2 linked regions of the Caenorhabditis elegans genome follow. The protein of the gene in region 2 purifies or fractionates together with the protein of the main gene of each other region. This does not show direct contact. Each region holds a gene or a part of one and is shown on either strand. Other genes may lie near its edges.

Region 1 (9,085 bases), on a different chromosome or scaffold from region 2:
TTATTTTATTTTTTGATTCAACTGCGACAAGGGAATTCATGTTGAATAGAATAAAGTCAAAAATGGGCACCGATATGAGTAATACTAGCCTGTTTTTATGAGGATGCGGGGGAAGAAGCAGTTTTTGATTAGAACGTGAGAAGCTCATTGAGCATGGAAGATGCCTAAAAAGTCATCTAAAATTTGGGATTCGTCATTATCTTTTTATTAGTTTCTGCGATCATAGAGTCACAATGGGGAGGAATAATCAGCGGAGAGTTATGAGTAAAAAAATAGTTGCAAGCAGATGGGAATAGAAACAAAAAATCACAATGACGAGAAATTGCATAATAAAACGTGCAAGAAAGCATGGACTTCGCAGATGTTTTATTTTTCAATTTTTTTTCAGGCTGATACATAGTAAGGTCGTAAAGTTTACAGGGACAATGTTACTAATCCTAAGAAATTATATTTGTAGAATATCAGAAGGAGTATTTTTGAAAATGTTTAAAGGTCTAGAAAATATTCGCTTTGTTTCAAAAGCAAACTTGAGCGATTGTTGCTCTTGTGAGATAAACACAGTTACGGCCAGGCGACTTCCTAAAAGCTGTAGGCCTCACGACGGCCTCATCGCATCAATTCTGCATTTTGACGTGTAATGACCGCATAGTGCGATATGCAACAGCCGACAGGTTCCGCGCCGCACTATACAGAAGGCGCGAATTGATCTTTTAGGCAAGGCAGGCGCTGCTGGTTTTACAGAATCTTCATGAAAAAAAAAAGTTATGTCAGAGACGACGGGTAACTCTACTTTTCTGCAATTTTCAGATTATCGACCAATTTGCAAAACTTTACCAAAAACGGTATTGCAACAAGAATCAGAAAGTTCAAGTTAGCCTGATTATTTTATTTGAAAAATGACATGCTGGTTTTCTGGAACAGTTATCTAGTCTGAACGTTAATTTTGCAAAAATACGGAGTAGATTCATTTATTTCCATCTCTTTCCTCAAGTCTTTCAGGTCAAGAGACACAAAAGTAAAATATTATGAAAATTCACTCGCTGCTCTTTTACGCTTCTTACAGTGTAATTGATGAGAAAACGTGTAATTTCTCCAGCTTCACGCTAGACTGAATCACCTTCCGGTAATATTTCTTAGAATACGCGTTAATTTCTGACGTTTTCTTTCATTTTATAAGTGACAAGATACTTGAATAGGAAATTCTAACAAAAAACATGGAAATAATCCAATTTTTACGAACTGAATGAGTAGAAAAATAGATCGAACGTTTCTTTGTGAAACTCTTTTAAAAAAGAAAGACTTAGAAAAGTGTCATCTACTAATTAATGCATCACTACTAAACTATTGAAATTCCTAAAGAAATGTTGTTTTTCAGAAGTCGTTCAACATTTTCGTATTCGTATAGAAAAATATGAAAAAAGTCTTAAAATCAGTATTCACGTAAAGCAATAAAATAAATAAAAGACTTGAAGCTGAAGTGACTTTCTGATGAACATTTGTTTATTTACACGAAATACATAGATTTGGCCGAGAAAGCTACAACTTTAGAAGTTAACAATCAAAGTTTCTCAAAATATCATATGATTATAACTTTTGAGGATGGAGCAAATACTTAACGGACACCTTGGTTAATTAGTTTTCAATTCTTGAGCGAATTTTGTTGGTGTACCCAGAAACCACGTGATTCATTGCTTATCATGTCAAAACAATCGCTTTAAGAAGGACTCGATTGTCTGAAGTATCAATCAGCGCAGGCCATATGAAGTTGACAACTTGGTTGGTTGTTCCCGAGTAAGCTCCTCTGGAATGACGGGACGGCTCGAACTCGGCTCCGTCGTACTCTAACTTCAATCTGCAATAGGATATGATGAGTTATGGGCGCGTTCCGTGGGTGGATTGAATTTATTAATATCGGAAAAGTCAGGTTTTTCTGCAGTGGCTGGGATTTGATTTATTGTGGCACTGTTTGTCAGGTCGGCACATATGTTCTATTCTGAGGATTCGAGCAAAAGTTCGAGACGTTTTTTTCCAATGTGTTCGCTTACACGAAGGCAAACAGATTGGATTTCTAGAATTGTTAATGGAAAATAAAATCTTATATATCAAGTCTGAAAATCAAAACATGAAAAAAAAACATTCCACCACATAAAAAGTTCAGATATTGGGGGGAATCACTTGAAAAACGGAAATGTGATTATTTGGACATCACTTGAATTTTGATTTTGGTTATGAAAAACAGTCATTCTAAAAACTAGAAATGAAAACAAAAGTTTTTTAACAACTTTTATTTCCTCCAGCTGATATACCTAGATACTATGAAAGTTAGGGAATAAGAAATTACAAAAATAGCCAAAAAAAATTCCCCATCTTCAAATGAACATTTGCAAATGGAAGTTATTCATCATTACAAACATGTGGGTGTACAAGTCTCTCATTGTATATTCTATGCTCAGGTGTCAAGAAGCACGAACTTTTGATGAACCTCAATTTGTCAGTGCCAGAGAAGAAAAATGGTCGGCATATTTTAAAATAGAAATATCGCAGAAAAAGACATCGGAAGTTTTTAAGTGACGTTCTGAAATTCAAAAATCATCACCAGGAACAATTTTGGAGATGCTGGGGTATTTTTTTCCAGAAAAATTCGAACCCTATCAAAAATTCTAAATTGCAGTGACAATTTTAGATTTTCGGAGGGGGAGGTTTTGCGGCGGAGGTGTGAATAATTTAAATAAGTAAAATCAATGACGTGCCAGAAAAAGTTATATGGAGGCTGGGGACCAATATTACAAAAAAAAGACTCACTTTCGTTCCGGGCAGCATTGAATGTCCCATGATATTGATATACATTTTTGGATGTATTGATGAATAGTTAGACATTCTTCAACTCCGGGGTACTCGTCAAGCTTCTTGAATACTTGCTGGCACAGATCCTGGAAAAATGTTATATTAGGTCGGCAAATAATTGACGTATTTGTCAATTTACTTTTTTTTTTCTTAAATTATATTTAGATAATTTATATGTAGTCGGTAGTGATTATTTGTCAACCTATAAGTTTTAGCTTCTTGATACTAGGATCTCTGAGAATATAGAACAAATGGTTGAAAGAAGTTTGCATTCATTTTGAGTCAGGCTTTAAAATTTTGATGACAAGTTTTTAAGTTACCTCTGCAATATGGCCTCCAGCTTTTGTTGTGGTGAACTCTTTGTGAAGCTGTGAACTCAATGCATCTTCAAACATTGTCAATTCATTCGATTCTTTGGCATTGTTATTTACTGAAAACACAAATTTTTCAACGTGTTAAAAAAATGTGTAAAGTCACATGCTTAAACATTTAAACATTGGCGAAGTTGATCCAGTTTTTCCAAAAATTTGAATGATATGTTTTCTTAAGAATTCTTGTGGTTTGATAATTGTTGATTGATTATTAAAGGTAGCGAAATTTTGTAAAACTCTCTAACAGACTCAAAATAGCTCAAAACAACAGAGTTTAGTAATGAAATGTCTTGAAATGTTTTTAAAAAAGTTATGGCAGTTCGAAGTTTTGAAAATGATCCTGTTTTCAGCCAAAATCCTAAATTAAAAAAAAAACAAAGTTGAAATTTGGTAAATTAAATTGTATGTAGTTATTATCCTATACAGCATATTGGTAGGTAACTACGTTTTTTCTGATTTATGTGTTTTTCAGTGGATGGGTGAACATATGTGGAAAAAATGTGTGCACCTATAAAGCGAATATGTTCTTAAATCAACGAAAATATGAGTAATAAACGATCGAACATACAACAGTGAGCAATAATATTTAAAAAAAAAATTTCCGTTTACTGCGACACTGACAATTTTGCAAAAAGTCTGATTTCAGCTGAAAATAGGCATGAAACTTTGAAACCCAATTTTTTGAAACGTTTCACTACGAAATTTGGTAAATTATTTATATTTTTGTATATTTTGAATCTAATGAGACAATGACCAAAATTTTCGTTACTCTATGTTTACCCTAAATTTTGAAATAAAGAACAACCCGACAGTTTGTGAAGTGATATTGCAAAAAACCTTCACTACTAACCAGATCCCAATGCCTTCAATACCGCTAGCTTTCTGTCTTCAATGTGCTCTTTCACCACATTGTAAGTCAATATCAAGGTTTCATGTCCGAAAATAGCTTGCAAGTCGTCCTCTCCTTCCATTTCCGGTAAAGTATCCAATGAATCCCTGAGTTCCTGAAAGTTTTATTCAAGATCATCGTTTTTCGTTTCAATTGATCTTCACGTACATTGCTAGCGAATATGAACAATTCGCCGAATCGAGTGACCAATTGACTCGTTTGTTCTTTTGTTGCGGAATTATAATATGCGGTCGCATCCGGATAGTCGGGAAGTGGAAGGGAACTGGATAGAGTTTAGATGAAATACGACACTTTTTGAGTTGTATTTTTCATACGTACCTTTCTTTAATCACCGAGTCTTCTTCGGACTTTTCCCTTAGTTGAGTAATAGTGTAGTTGGCAACTCGTAATTCTTTTCGCAATTTTGAAATCTAAATTCAATAAGAATTATTTTTAGAGAGTAGTAGTATGTACTAAATTAAAAATTTAAAAAATCACACCTCTTGCTTGAGACTGTCAAATTGAATGGAGTTCTCCGACGGTCGAACAGAAAATTTTTCATCTGAAAACAAAAATCACAGATTACTTATAACAAGTTGGCATACTGATTGAAGATGCTCCCTGTGATACGGAGGATGTAGAAGATCCCGAAGACAATCTCGTGGAGCTCACATCATCAGGACACATTTGCAATAGCTGAAAAGTACAAAAAATGAACCTTTGGTTTTTAGTTCCTGTTTACCTTGTTGTATGAATTATTGAACACTACGATTAGCTGTGCAACAATTGGGTCCATCTGTTGAAGAGCAAAGTCTTCCGGAGCAGCTCTTGCAAATGCATTAAACAATCCGATGAGAAGTTTGTCCGATCCGACACGCTTACGACAGATGCGTAGCAATGAGCCAAGCTGGAATTTGGTTAAAGAGATAAAAGTTAATCATTTAATTAGTGTTGAAACTCAGTTTATATTGCAAAAAAAAACGTAGTCCCCCAAAACATCCGAACAAAAGTTTAAATCTTTGTGTTCTCACCGTGCAGAACATTTATTTTTGATTGTTTTTGAGAAAAATGGTCATATTTCATTTACGTGGACGTTTTGGATCTTTTCATGCAGTCAGAGCAAATTTTAAAAACAAAAATTCAATTTAAAAATTTCAGCAAATGCGGAAGTTTCCGAACATCAAAATTAACAACGAGCAACAATCGGTTGCCAAAATTCAAACACTTTCCGGCAAGCGGCAGCCATATTTTAGCAATATTTGTTTACAGCTAAAAAATTCTTGGATAGGAGTTGTACTTTTTGGACAGTACTCAAGAATGGAAAAAAACGTTTTCCCTTGTTTTCAAATAATGAAGAATTGCTCACGTGTTGATTTTGAAACGTTTCTTCAAGTACACACTGAAGAGTTTCATTAAGCTTCAATCGTTCAAACACTTGTGACAATCTCATGCTCATCTGTCTCTGGTGACTCTCGCATGATGGATCCGGTGCATTTGATTTTGGATCATGTTGAAGTTCCTTTATTTGTGAGCAAATAATTTTCAGATTCTCCACATGCTTCAACAATTCCAGATGAACGGCGTCAGTCATTCTGCAAATTATACATCCTGTTTTCCATCACAAGAAAAAACGAACCTAATTAATCCTGACGAGCAATTAACAAGCCCGTGGCATCCTAGACTCTCTAAACATGTTTTCAACTGATTTCTATCTTCGCGAGCTCTTTTCACCAAATCGGGACACTGCCTTCCGACAATCGACATCAAAGTGGCAATACATGGTTGAAACTCCTGAAACGAACCCTATTCTAATATTTTTCCATGTTCATTTTTGTTGGGAGGATGCATACGCCGTCACAAAAACGTTATTTGATTATCTTCTCTCGGCTCCTCGACAAGTGAGCAATTCCGCCGTGAAAAATAGCAAAAATGCATTTTGCGCAGTCTTACGCGACGTGTTTTTGCTGCTGTTTTCTGGAAAAAGCGCTCGCGAACACGAACAACTATTTGCATTTTAAACAAAAAAAAACATTCAAAAGGAGAATCCGAAACACATTTCGTTAGGACGAAAAATGACGAGAAAGCTTACTGCAAACATGGCACAGTGTTTTTTAAGTGATGAATTGCTTTGCTCACAGAATGCTGTCCACCAGACCAATTGGCAGAATAGTTGCTCACAACACAATTCCTTTGTCGGCAGAATTAGCCCATCTTCCACCGTTCGCTGAAATTTGGTACATGAAATGTTTATTGCAGACATTGTATAATTTCTAAATGTACCAAGTTTTCCTTATTAGTCAGACTGTTGATATTGTTAAAAGCTGCTCATGTTGTGCTTAAATGTCCAAATGCTTGGTTAAGCTTTTAAATACACTTTTGAAATTTTTATGAACAGTCAAAATGTGGCGAAATCTCACTTTTTACCAATTATAATATTGGTAATCTACCAAAAATAAATTTCCTACGAGTTTTAAAATATAATTGTGTTTTGATTGATTGAAATAAATCATTCAAAGGATTCAAACCTACAGCAACGCCTGAAATTTCACAAAAAGTTCAATTTTTTGCTTTTGACAAATTGGCACCAATATTGTTCACAAAAAATTTGACCGAAAATTTTTTTAAGTCTAAGCATTTGAAGTATTAGGTTTTTATTTAAAAACTGAATTCGTACAAATATGCATAATGCGACTCCCAAGTTAAATTTTTATTACTGACTCCCTCACCAATTCACATTTCAAATAAATCGCTTCCAGCAGTGGCAATGTGTACGGAATCTCCGAGACGAGTTGTTCAACCGGTGGCAAAATGTTGAAAAGAACGGACAAGTCATCGGTGTTCTGTGCCTGCAAGTATAGTGACGTGCTGCTTTGAACCTGTGAAATACATCTAAGCCGTTCGTTCCGACACCGACGTAAGCTTGCGTGCGACTGAGTTTGCATTACTGATTATTTCGCACGCACCGGGATAGTAGTGCCCGCCGAGCAAATGATCAAAAAGTGATGATCAGCTAGGGTTAATTTGATTAGGTGATTAGGAATTGAATGTCAAATAAACTTCATGAAAAGATTCTCTTCCTGATTATTCAGGTTTTTCTACTTACTTGCTCTCGCAGATGATTCAAGAGCTGGACATCTAGCGGTTCCACTTGGCAAGTGTATTGAATCAAATTAAGTTCCTGTCGTGGTGGTTTAAAACTCCATCCAGCTGATTTGCTGGTTTTGTGCGCCATGCATAAAGAATTTGGTTTGCAGCTCCCTTTCTATTGTTTTCATTGTTAGGTTTTTTGGAACAAGTGTGTGAAAAATGACGTTGAAAAAGAGCGGCACATTGATGAATCGCGAACAAAAAAAGCAACAAAAAACAACAGACAATGAAAAAGGAGACCGCTCAAGTGTGTGCAAGAAAAAAAATGCAATTAATTACTTCTCAAGTGATGGTGGAAAGGGAAAAGAGAACATCAAATGTGTGAATGATATCAACATACTTACAAAGGGATTACTGTAAAGGATGCTTGAACTGGAAGAGAAAATAATAGGATATATATTTTCTCACCTAGAGGAGAACGGCGTATTCTCTACTTCACCATAATTATACAGACAATTCGTAAGTGGTGGTCATCTGAAGAACTATGACTTTCACCAACGGTGAAAACGGGAAGAATTGGGAAAAGATGCGTGAATGGAAGGCAGTACTTCAGAAAGAATATAAACAAAGTTTTGCAGATTTTATCTGTGCTCCAGAATTAGTTTCTCGGAAAGGGTTGGAGCAGAGTTTTTAAAATGAGTGAGGTATGCAGAGCTAATAAAATATGACATTACATATGTGATACACCAAATACTACCTCATATAAGACCATCAGTTTTTTAGAATTCAGAGAAAGGAAAAATTCTGGTAGATGCTAGATGATCCTAACATCAATGATATGCGGAATGGCACTGTACATCTAACGACAACAACAAAAAAAGAAGCATCTCAGAATATCCGGTGGCTGTGAGAAAATGGTTGGCCGGCAGCAGCCGGATAAACATGTCGTCGACAATTTTGCGTTCCCCTTGAAAGCGGGGAGACGCGCGTTTTTTGAAACTTGATACGGCAATTAGAGGTGCCAATAATGAGATACTGTAGCTGAGGCTGCCCGTCGTCGCGCCTGTCAGGATTTGTTTGTATTGTTGCGTCTGGGAAGCCAGAAGCTTGGCAGGCAAATGACTGCAACATGGACACACACACAGAGAGGAGGCGCTGCCGTACGGAGGGAGAGAGGAAAAAATGGTTGATGAAGGCGGCAAAAAGGATGGTGGAAGCAAAAAAAAGGCGGGGCGCCATCCGTACTGGCGTACTGACACGTGTTACATGGCAGGACCTTGTACACTTTGTATTCTCGTTTACTACGTCTTTTGTCCGTTTTGACTAGAAATCAAATCGGACGCGAAATTCTCACACAACAAAAGGTGCCCCCGTTGAAGGTGTTGCTGAATGGCGCGGGATAGGATCAAGCAGTCAACGGAAGCAGAAATAGAAATAGTGAGAAATGGGAAGAAAAGTTATTGTGTTGTACGCGTGTTTCGATTTTTCTTTTGAGTCTACTACAGCCCCCCCCCCCCCCCCCCCCCCCCCCACACGTTTTGTCCTTTCGATAGTAATTTCAACGAGGTCAGTGGTGTTGAGCGGAACGAGGTCAGTGGTGTTGAGCGGGGGTATGAATATGAGTATTTCTTGGTTGAAAGAAGCTTTCTTGATGTTGGTTTTAATTGAATTACCCTCCACACCCCCACTGATATCTGTTTGTTCTCGCTTTTCTTAGAAAAATACAAGAATAGAAATGAAAGCAGAAAACGTTTTTTAGGCTGAGGGCATGATAAAATGTTTAATATTCTTATCTTACTTTTTTGATATTTTTAAAATCATATTTACATATTTACATTTTAAAATCATATTTCTATAGATATTGAAGTAAGTTTCTTTATAATGTTCATTTAAA
Region 2 (6,957 bases):
TTCTCACCGATCATCAATTCTACATGACAAGTGGATTTAAGAGCGAGTGAGTTTTTACCTTACCCTTTTACTGCATTTTAAATGTTTCAAATAACTATTTCAGTGGCTGTGGAAGAGGGGACTACCGTACTCAACAAGATGGAAATACTTCTACTTCATTTGATTCAATCGGTTCGAACGATGAATATTGCCATGCTCACAGGTTACTCTTTCCACAAGTGAGTTATTATATTATCGATTTGAAACCTTTCTGCAAATGCAGTGTGAAGGCGCATTGTAATAAAAGAGAACAAAAATTTCATTTAAATTGATGAGCTTTGGAACCGATCTAATGAGCCAAGTTATAAGCTTTAAAAATTAATGTTTTTCAGAAACGGACGTTATCCTACAATGGCTGCAATGCGAGCTCCTGCTATTTGTGCAATGCGTGAGTTAACAGATAACATTTTCATACAACTTTGCATATTTTCAGACGAATTCAGTTGGTCGCATGGGGACTGTGATCCAAAGCCAGAATGGGCTGAAGAAATGTTGGTATACAACCGGACGAGCGAATCAGTTTTCTGTCATTACGTAAGCTGAAATTAATTTACACATTTTATAAAGAATTTAAGGTTGATGAGACGGAAAAGATCACGTATTATGAAGCAAAAGCTCGTTGCAACAGTTTTGGAGCAGAATTGACAGGATTTGACTCGCGAGATGAATGGGTTGCAGTATCTAAAACTTGTGAGTTCTACGCGGCATGTTTTCCAAGAATTTTTTAATTTAAATAATGCGATGAGATATAGAAAAGTATTTGCTTCATTTGCAAATAACACTTACTTGGTGTGGAACAATTAAAAATATTCCCAAAAATACTTTTAATCTGGGCTGTGCGGCTCGTTTCTCGACTCATCTGAAAATTCAATTGTTTCGTGTTTTAGAAAGAAAGAGTTTTTGAATGATCATACTAGTTGAATAGCTGGAGCATGAAGCTTATCATTTTAAAAACATTTGAAAAAAAGTGGTTATAGCGTAGAGATATACGCCTCGAACCAATGAGCCGGCATCCGAGAGGCGATTCATTCGGCACTTGGCGCATTGCGAATGGTATGGAATGTTGTGTACACTTTTTTTCAAAGTTTATTTCTTTAGTGATAAGCTTATTGCTCCAACTATTCAACCAGTATAATCATTCGCAAACTCTTTCTTGCTAATCCACTGAAAATAATGGAATTTTTAGATGCGTCGAGAAAAAGGCCGCACAGCCCTGCTCTGAATGTTGAAAATTGCCGGATAATATTAGACAAATTAACGAGAAAAAACGTTGGGAATTTTCAACTTTCAGAGTATTTTTGAGATATTTCTTCAGTTATTTTTCAGTAATCTTATTTCCAGGTAAAACAAGTATTTCAATATTCCATCAGAAAATTTAGGTTTAAAATTTTAAGAGATTATGCAACACTGGCTCTCTTGTAGACTTGCCGGTCGGCAATTGCTTTATACTAGTACTCCTAATAGAAACGGTTATTTTCAGTGAAGACATGTCATCACTGGACCGGAGGGATAACAAAATATAAAAGCTATAATGTACCAGAAATCATTTGGGACGCTGGTGTTGCTACGAACACAGACTATTTTACTGATGTTTATTTTCAAACGACTCTACCCGATGAACATCTCTCATTACTATGGTCAGAAGCTCATGTTCAGTAAGTCAATGCTTTGAACAGATAAAATTTATATTCAATTTTATTAAGCCCGACGTATCGTAATTACATGTACATGTGCACCATATGCGGTAAAGCTGCAAAATTGGTTCGTTCGGAAGGAAAGGTGTATGGTCTCAAAACAACTGGATGATCACAACATGTGAACTCTTTCGAACGCTTCAACTTTATTGTGGAAATAAAAAATGTTTTTGAATTAAGCACGTTTTAATACATTTTCATTTAAAAGCGACAACAAAAATTCAAATACAAAATCAACATATTTACAACTGTTATTATACTGTTCTCAAGACTACAATTTTGGTTCTCTGATAATCTTTCTGAAATCATCATGTATCCGGATATGATTCATCTCGCACACCAACATCTCCTCCATGAATTTCTTCTCTCCTCTTTCAATGATTTGCAAAGCCTCTAAGGCAACGAAAAAACGATTTTCATGAAAGTTCCTATCGATTTGATAGTTTCGCAACTCCTTGAGTATCACTTTCTGGATATCCCTACACATTTCGAGGCAATTGTCAGATATGTTTGAGTAGCCTGGAAATTTTTAAAGTTATCCTAGTTGAGGAAATATGAATTTTGATTTATTTTTTAACACTTATTTTGAACAATTAGAAGTCGTTTCTCAAAAATTTCCAAAAATCAGTTTTTTTTTTCAATTTTTCTAAGCATGCCAGAAATTTTCAGAGAAATTCAAAAGTTTTAAGAACTTTTTACATGAGTTGTAAACTTTCCAGAAATTTGTACAAGTGTCCAGAAGCCTCTGGAACTTCCCAAGTCTTTCCAGAAGTTCCTAGATCTTTTCAGAATTTTTTTAGACATTTATAAAACCATCCAGAAAATCCGTTGGCTAATCCCAAAGTTGTTTTTACACCTCTAGCGATTTTCAGAACGTTCCGATCATTTTCAGAACCTTCATAACTTTCCGATTTTTTCCTTACCATTATCAAAGAACGCCAGCCAAACGATAGCCATATATTCAAGCTCTTCGAGCCCCATTGACGAAATCGGAAGAATCATTTTTGTGTAGTAGTAATCCCAGTATGGCCGGAAGTTACTGGAAACTTTTCGCATTTAATGGCCGACATTTTTTGAAGGTTTACCTAACAATTTCAGATTTAGACATTTCCTTCCCTTCTGGAAATGTTCCACCATAAAACCCAACCAGCAAATTTTCATAATCCTCTTCCTCCAGATTATCGAACTTTTCAGCACACTCCCGGTACTCGAGGATTGGCTCAATCTGCCATAATTTTGGCACAAAGTTCCGTAACAGAGCTTGCTGGAATTCCAGTTTTTAGAGCGAAGAACTTCAAAGTCAAACCTACTCTATCCCTGTCCTCAAGTACTTCTACAGTTGGGAAGGCCTTGCTAACCATCCGCCACGTCAATTCAAGATCTCTTAGCACAAAACTAGTGAGTTCGAAAATATTGCAATTATTGAGAGATCCACTGTTCATTTCTTCTCTAGTCATTTTCAACTCGTGCCAGTTTGATAGAACACAATATAAGTTTGGTGTTTGGCGGGAAGTTATCGGAGTCTAAAAATAAGTACATTCTTCGGGCCGCTTTTAAGCTTTAAATCCTACATCTAACGAGGAGCATGGGCCTTCCAGTTTTATAGTTCTGTTCAAATGCTTGTCCCTGGTTAGTTGGATCTCTGAAATTCGAGTAGTTAAAAAACTAAAGCATAACTATAAATCTTCAAAACCTACTCTCCGGCGTCATCCCAGCTTCATAACACTTTCGGATCCTGCAACTTCGGCACGGATGAGCATTTGACTGCCTGGTTTTACATGTACATTTTAAGCCGAGCTTTTTCGAGTGATAGAATCTGCGGAAAAATGCAGCGCAGGCTCTGAAAAATTCTGACTAGTTTTTGGGCTTACGGGAAAAGTCTCTCACCGACATGAAGTCCCGCCAAAGTGGGGCTCAGATTCTGAAGATCCGCAGATTTTGCACATTTTGAGAGAGAAGTGCTCTGAAAGTTGATCGGATTAGGATTGCAAATGCATCTCAGAGAAGAGATCGTTGAGCAAAACAAGGAATATTTGCCAATGTTAGCATAATTCTGAGCAACGAGTCTTTAAAGATCTTATAGTAAATGCGCAGCCGACATTGATCGAGGACATATCACCCGCTTATCTCAAGGGACTTGTGGGACAAACGCAGGGCTTGGGTTTAGGAGCCGGCGTCCTCTGTATAGTGTGGCGCGGAACTCCGAAAGTGTCGGACGTTGATAAATTACACCAATCGCACTAAGCAGTGCTAACACCAAGCCTTTGATTTTACAACAAACTGCACAAGCTCCTCGAGCTGTGATGGCAAAGGCCGGCCGGTATGCGGGATCCCTCATTCGTTCTAGAATTTTAGGACATGTCTGAATTTTTTGTGGAAAACTAATATTTATATCGGATTCAGCGTAAGAAAAAATGTTACTTCAATCTCATCTAGATAGTTCAAAAATTCGGAGGAAACAAGAAAAAAATTCGATTTTTTAATTGTAAGCCATTTTTCTCCCAATTTTTGATGGTTTTGACCGAAATTGTAGTTCCATAGGATTTTTAGGATGCTGAATCCGACGCTGATTTCAGATTTTTACGAAAAAATTTGTAAATGCCCGGTTTCGGCGGTAATGAGTTCATACTTAATAGTAAAAATACGGTAGGTATGCCCTTCCTAATTAATTGTTCTATAGCAACAGTTTTTTTTTTAATTTTCGGTCTACAAAATCACATAAGAAATATTTGCAACGATCTCTGAACAATGCAGCCGCAAAATGACAAAGACCGCGCAAAACACGAAATATTTACATCCCGCAAAAATGTAGAACAAAAGATCAAATGAATGTACGACTCCCCGTCCAATTTAAAAGTCTACAAATGCGTTGCCAACGTGTCGTCTGTCGGGGCATGATGAGTCAGTGCATTTTCGGTGCTTTTTTTGTCGTTATTTGTTTAGTTGCACTTGTGTTTTAATGGTCACCGTGCAATGCAATATTACGAAATTGAGGAATGAAATTAATCATTCAAAAATGTATTTATTTATTTATTTATTTTGATACGATTAGTTAATCGTGTAAGAAATGAAATACCAATAGAACACATACACATAATCAAATAAAGCAATCAATATAAAAAGGAACATAGTAATTTTAGAAAAAAGTGGTGCACTTTTAAACCGTTTTTATCTATGAAAAAGGTGAAAAAATACCGCAGGTACTTTTGCAGGAAAAACGACAAGAGGTTGCTGGTGGCGTGCAAAATTGACAAAAAATAAGTGTGAGTATGGACATTTAAAAAATTTCAGAACATTCTGAAACACTTTAGGATACTTTTAGAATTTTCTAGAATTTTGCAAAATAATACAGAATTTTCTGATAATTGAAAATTGAATTTACCGCCGAAATTTTGAAATATTGAAGTTCAAAAATATTGAACAATTTTAATTTTATTTTGTTAGTATTTTGGAAAAATTATTTTTTTTAACTTTCTGCTAAAACCTTCTGGAAACAGTGTTTAATTTGAAATTCTGCAGAAAGTTAAAATAAAATAAAAATGAAAATTTCGCGAAAATTTTTAGAAAAAAAAATTGAATTTCCAGCCGAAATGTTCTGGAAAATTAAAAGTTGAGTTTCGTACAAAAATTTTTTTCGAAAAATTTTTAAATATGAACTTCATACATTTTTTTTGAAAAGAATCGAATTTCCCGCCAATGGTTTTTTTTTTGATAAATCTAAATTTGAATGTACAGGCAAAAACTTTTTGGAAATAATAATTTTAATTTCTGGCCAGATTTTTTGAAACCCTAAAATTTGAATTTCCAGTTAAAAATTTAATTCCCGGAAAGTATTCAAAAAAACAAAAATTAGCATTACTTTAAAAGTATTTGAATAAAAATCAGTTCTGAATTTCCAGTCAAGTTTTTTGAAAAATACTTTTTCAAATTCTAATTTAAAATATGAAGAAAAAAAACGAAAAAAAAAAACAATTAATACCATAAACTAGTACAAAAGAGTCTGAGATTTAAAAAAATTTAGAAATTTTCCACAGGTGACTTTTTAGACTAAAAAAAAAGAGTTAAAAGTAAAATAGCGATCAAAAATTGTCTTTTGCAGGAAAAAAGTTCGTCACAAACCCCAATATATACCAGGCACATAGCACAACGAAACAAACACGGCGCGACCTTTTGATCTCAGTTCTCCGTCTCTTTCTCTTCGTTCTCCATGTAAAAAGAGTACTAAAATTGAATAGAAAAAGCAGAGTGTCAGACAAAAAATTAGAGAACACAGTGTGAATCATATGACGTGGCTTTTACCATTTTATATTTTTTATCAAATGATCGTAAATGACTCAAATGGAACTGTGTTTTGTGTCGGGTGGTAAATAGGATATGAGTGTGCAAGCCGTAAAAAAATCGAGAATACCCTTTAGAAATTACTAATAGATTGTTGCATTTTATGCGTTTTGGGAATGTCTACATTTTGGACTTGAAAATTTCTGACAAGTGTACCAAACTAGGGAAGTATTTTGACATGATCCTGCAACTCAATTTTTTTTTAATTTAAAAATTAATCATTTAAATTTTTTTAAAGACGATCTGAATTTTTTCAGACATCTTTTAAATCAAAATCATGATTTATGAAAATTTGCTTTGAAAATGTGTTTATCTTGTTTTTCGTTTTGTACAAGTATTAGAGCAATTTTAGACGTTCTCTGAAATTTTAATTTTTTTTTGAAAATATCTAAAAAATATTTTTAAAAAATGCAATTTTTGCAAAACAATTGCAATTCGAATATCTGAATTATTTTGGAAACAATTTTTGCAATTTTTTTTGAAATACAAAATTGTGGTTTTCAATTTTAAATGGGTGATTAAATCACCTAATCGTTTTCCAAATTAAAAAAAATTGCAAAATTAAAAAAAAAAATTTTTAGATTTTCGAATTACATCTTTTCAAAAATTTTGAAAAAAAAAATTTTGAGAACACAATTTTTTAGAAAACATAGCCTGAATTTTTTTATTCTGAAATTGTCCTCATCCAATTTTTTCATAATTTCTTAAAACTTCAAAATTCTGCAAATACGCAGTTTTGGAGCAATTTTAAACACTCGAAAGTAGAAAAATACACTGAAAAAATGTTACGCTTATTTTCCGGTCAAGGCTGCTGTAGCAATTTATTCGTCGGAAATGTTTTTTTTGTTTAAGTTGAAAAAAATGATCGTAAATAAATGGCACTGTG

What was found. The genes of interacting proteins can lie anywhere in the genome.
Region 1: the proteins of nhr-112 (region 2) and F49E10.4 fractionate together in Caenorhabditis elegans (co-fractionation; one large-scale study listed by BioGRID). This does not show direct contact.

The regions. Positions count from the first base shown.
Region 1 is NC_003284.9:5,874,149-5,883,233, reverse strand, and holds F49E10.4 (Mitochondria-eating protein), read right to left. Parts: upstream 7,368-9,085; 5' UTR 7,337-7,367; coding exon 7,208-7,336; intron 7,139-7,207; exon of another isoform or gene 7,011-7,138; intron 6,951-7,010; coding exon 6,831-6,950; intron 6,329-6,830; coding exon 6,194-6,328; intron 5,896-6,193; coding exon 5,741-5,895; intron 5,697-5,740; coding exon 5,471-5,696; intron 5,012-5,470; coding exon 4,847-5,011; intron 4,801-4,846; coding exon 4,710-4,800; intron 4,667-4,709; coding exon 4,605-4,666; intron 4,536-4,604; coding exon 4,444-4,535; intron 4,388-4,443; coding exon 4,273-4,387; intron 4,220-4,272; coding exon 4,066-4,219; intron 3,275-4,065; coding exon 3,165-3,274; intron 2,931-3,164; coding exon 2,803-2,930; intron 1,853-2,802; coding exon 1,696-1,852; 3' UTR 1,482-1,695; downstream 1-1,481.
Region 2 is NC_003283.11:16,720,149-16,727,105, forward strand, and holds nhr-112 (Nuclear receptor domain-containing protein), read right to left. Parts: upstream 3,697-6,957; 5' UTR 3,680-3,696; coding exon 3,621-3,679; intron 3,574-3,620; coding exon 3,431-3,573; intron 3,376-3,430; coding exon 3,305-3,375; intron 3,257-3,304; coding exon 3,044-3,256; intron 2,998-3,043; coding exon 2,819-2,997; intron 2,773-2,818; coding exon 2,657-2,772; intron 2,253-2,656; coding exon 2,005-2,252; 3' UTR 1,913-2,004; downstream 1-1,912.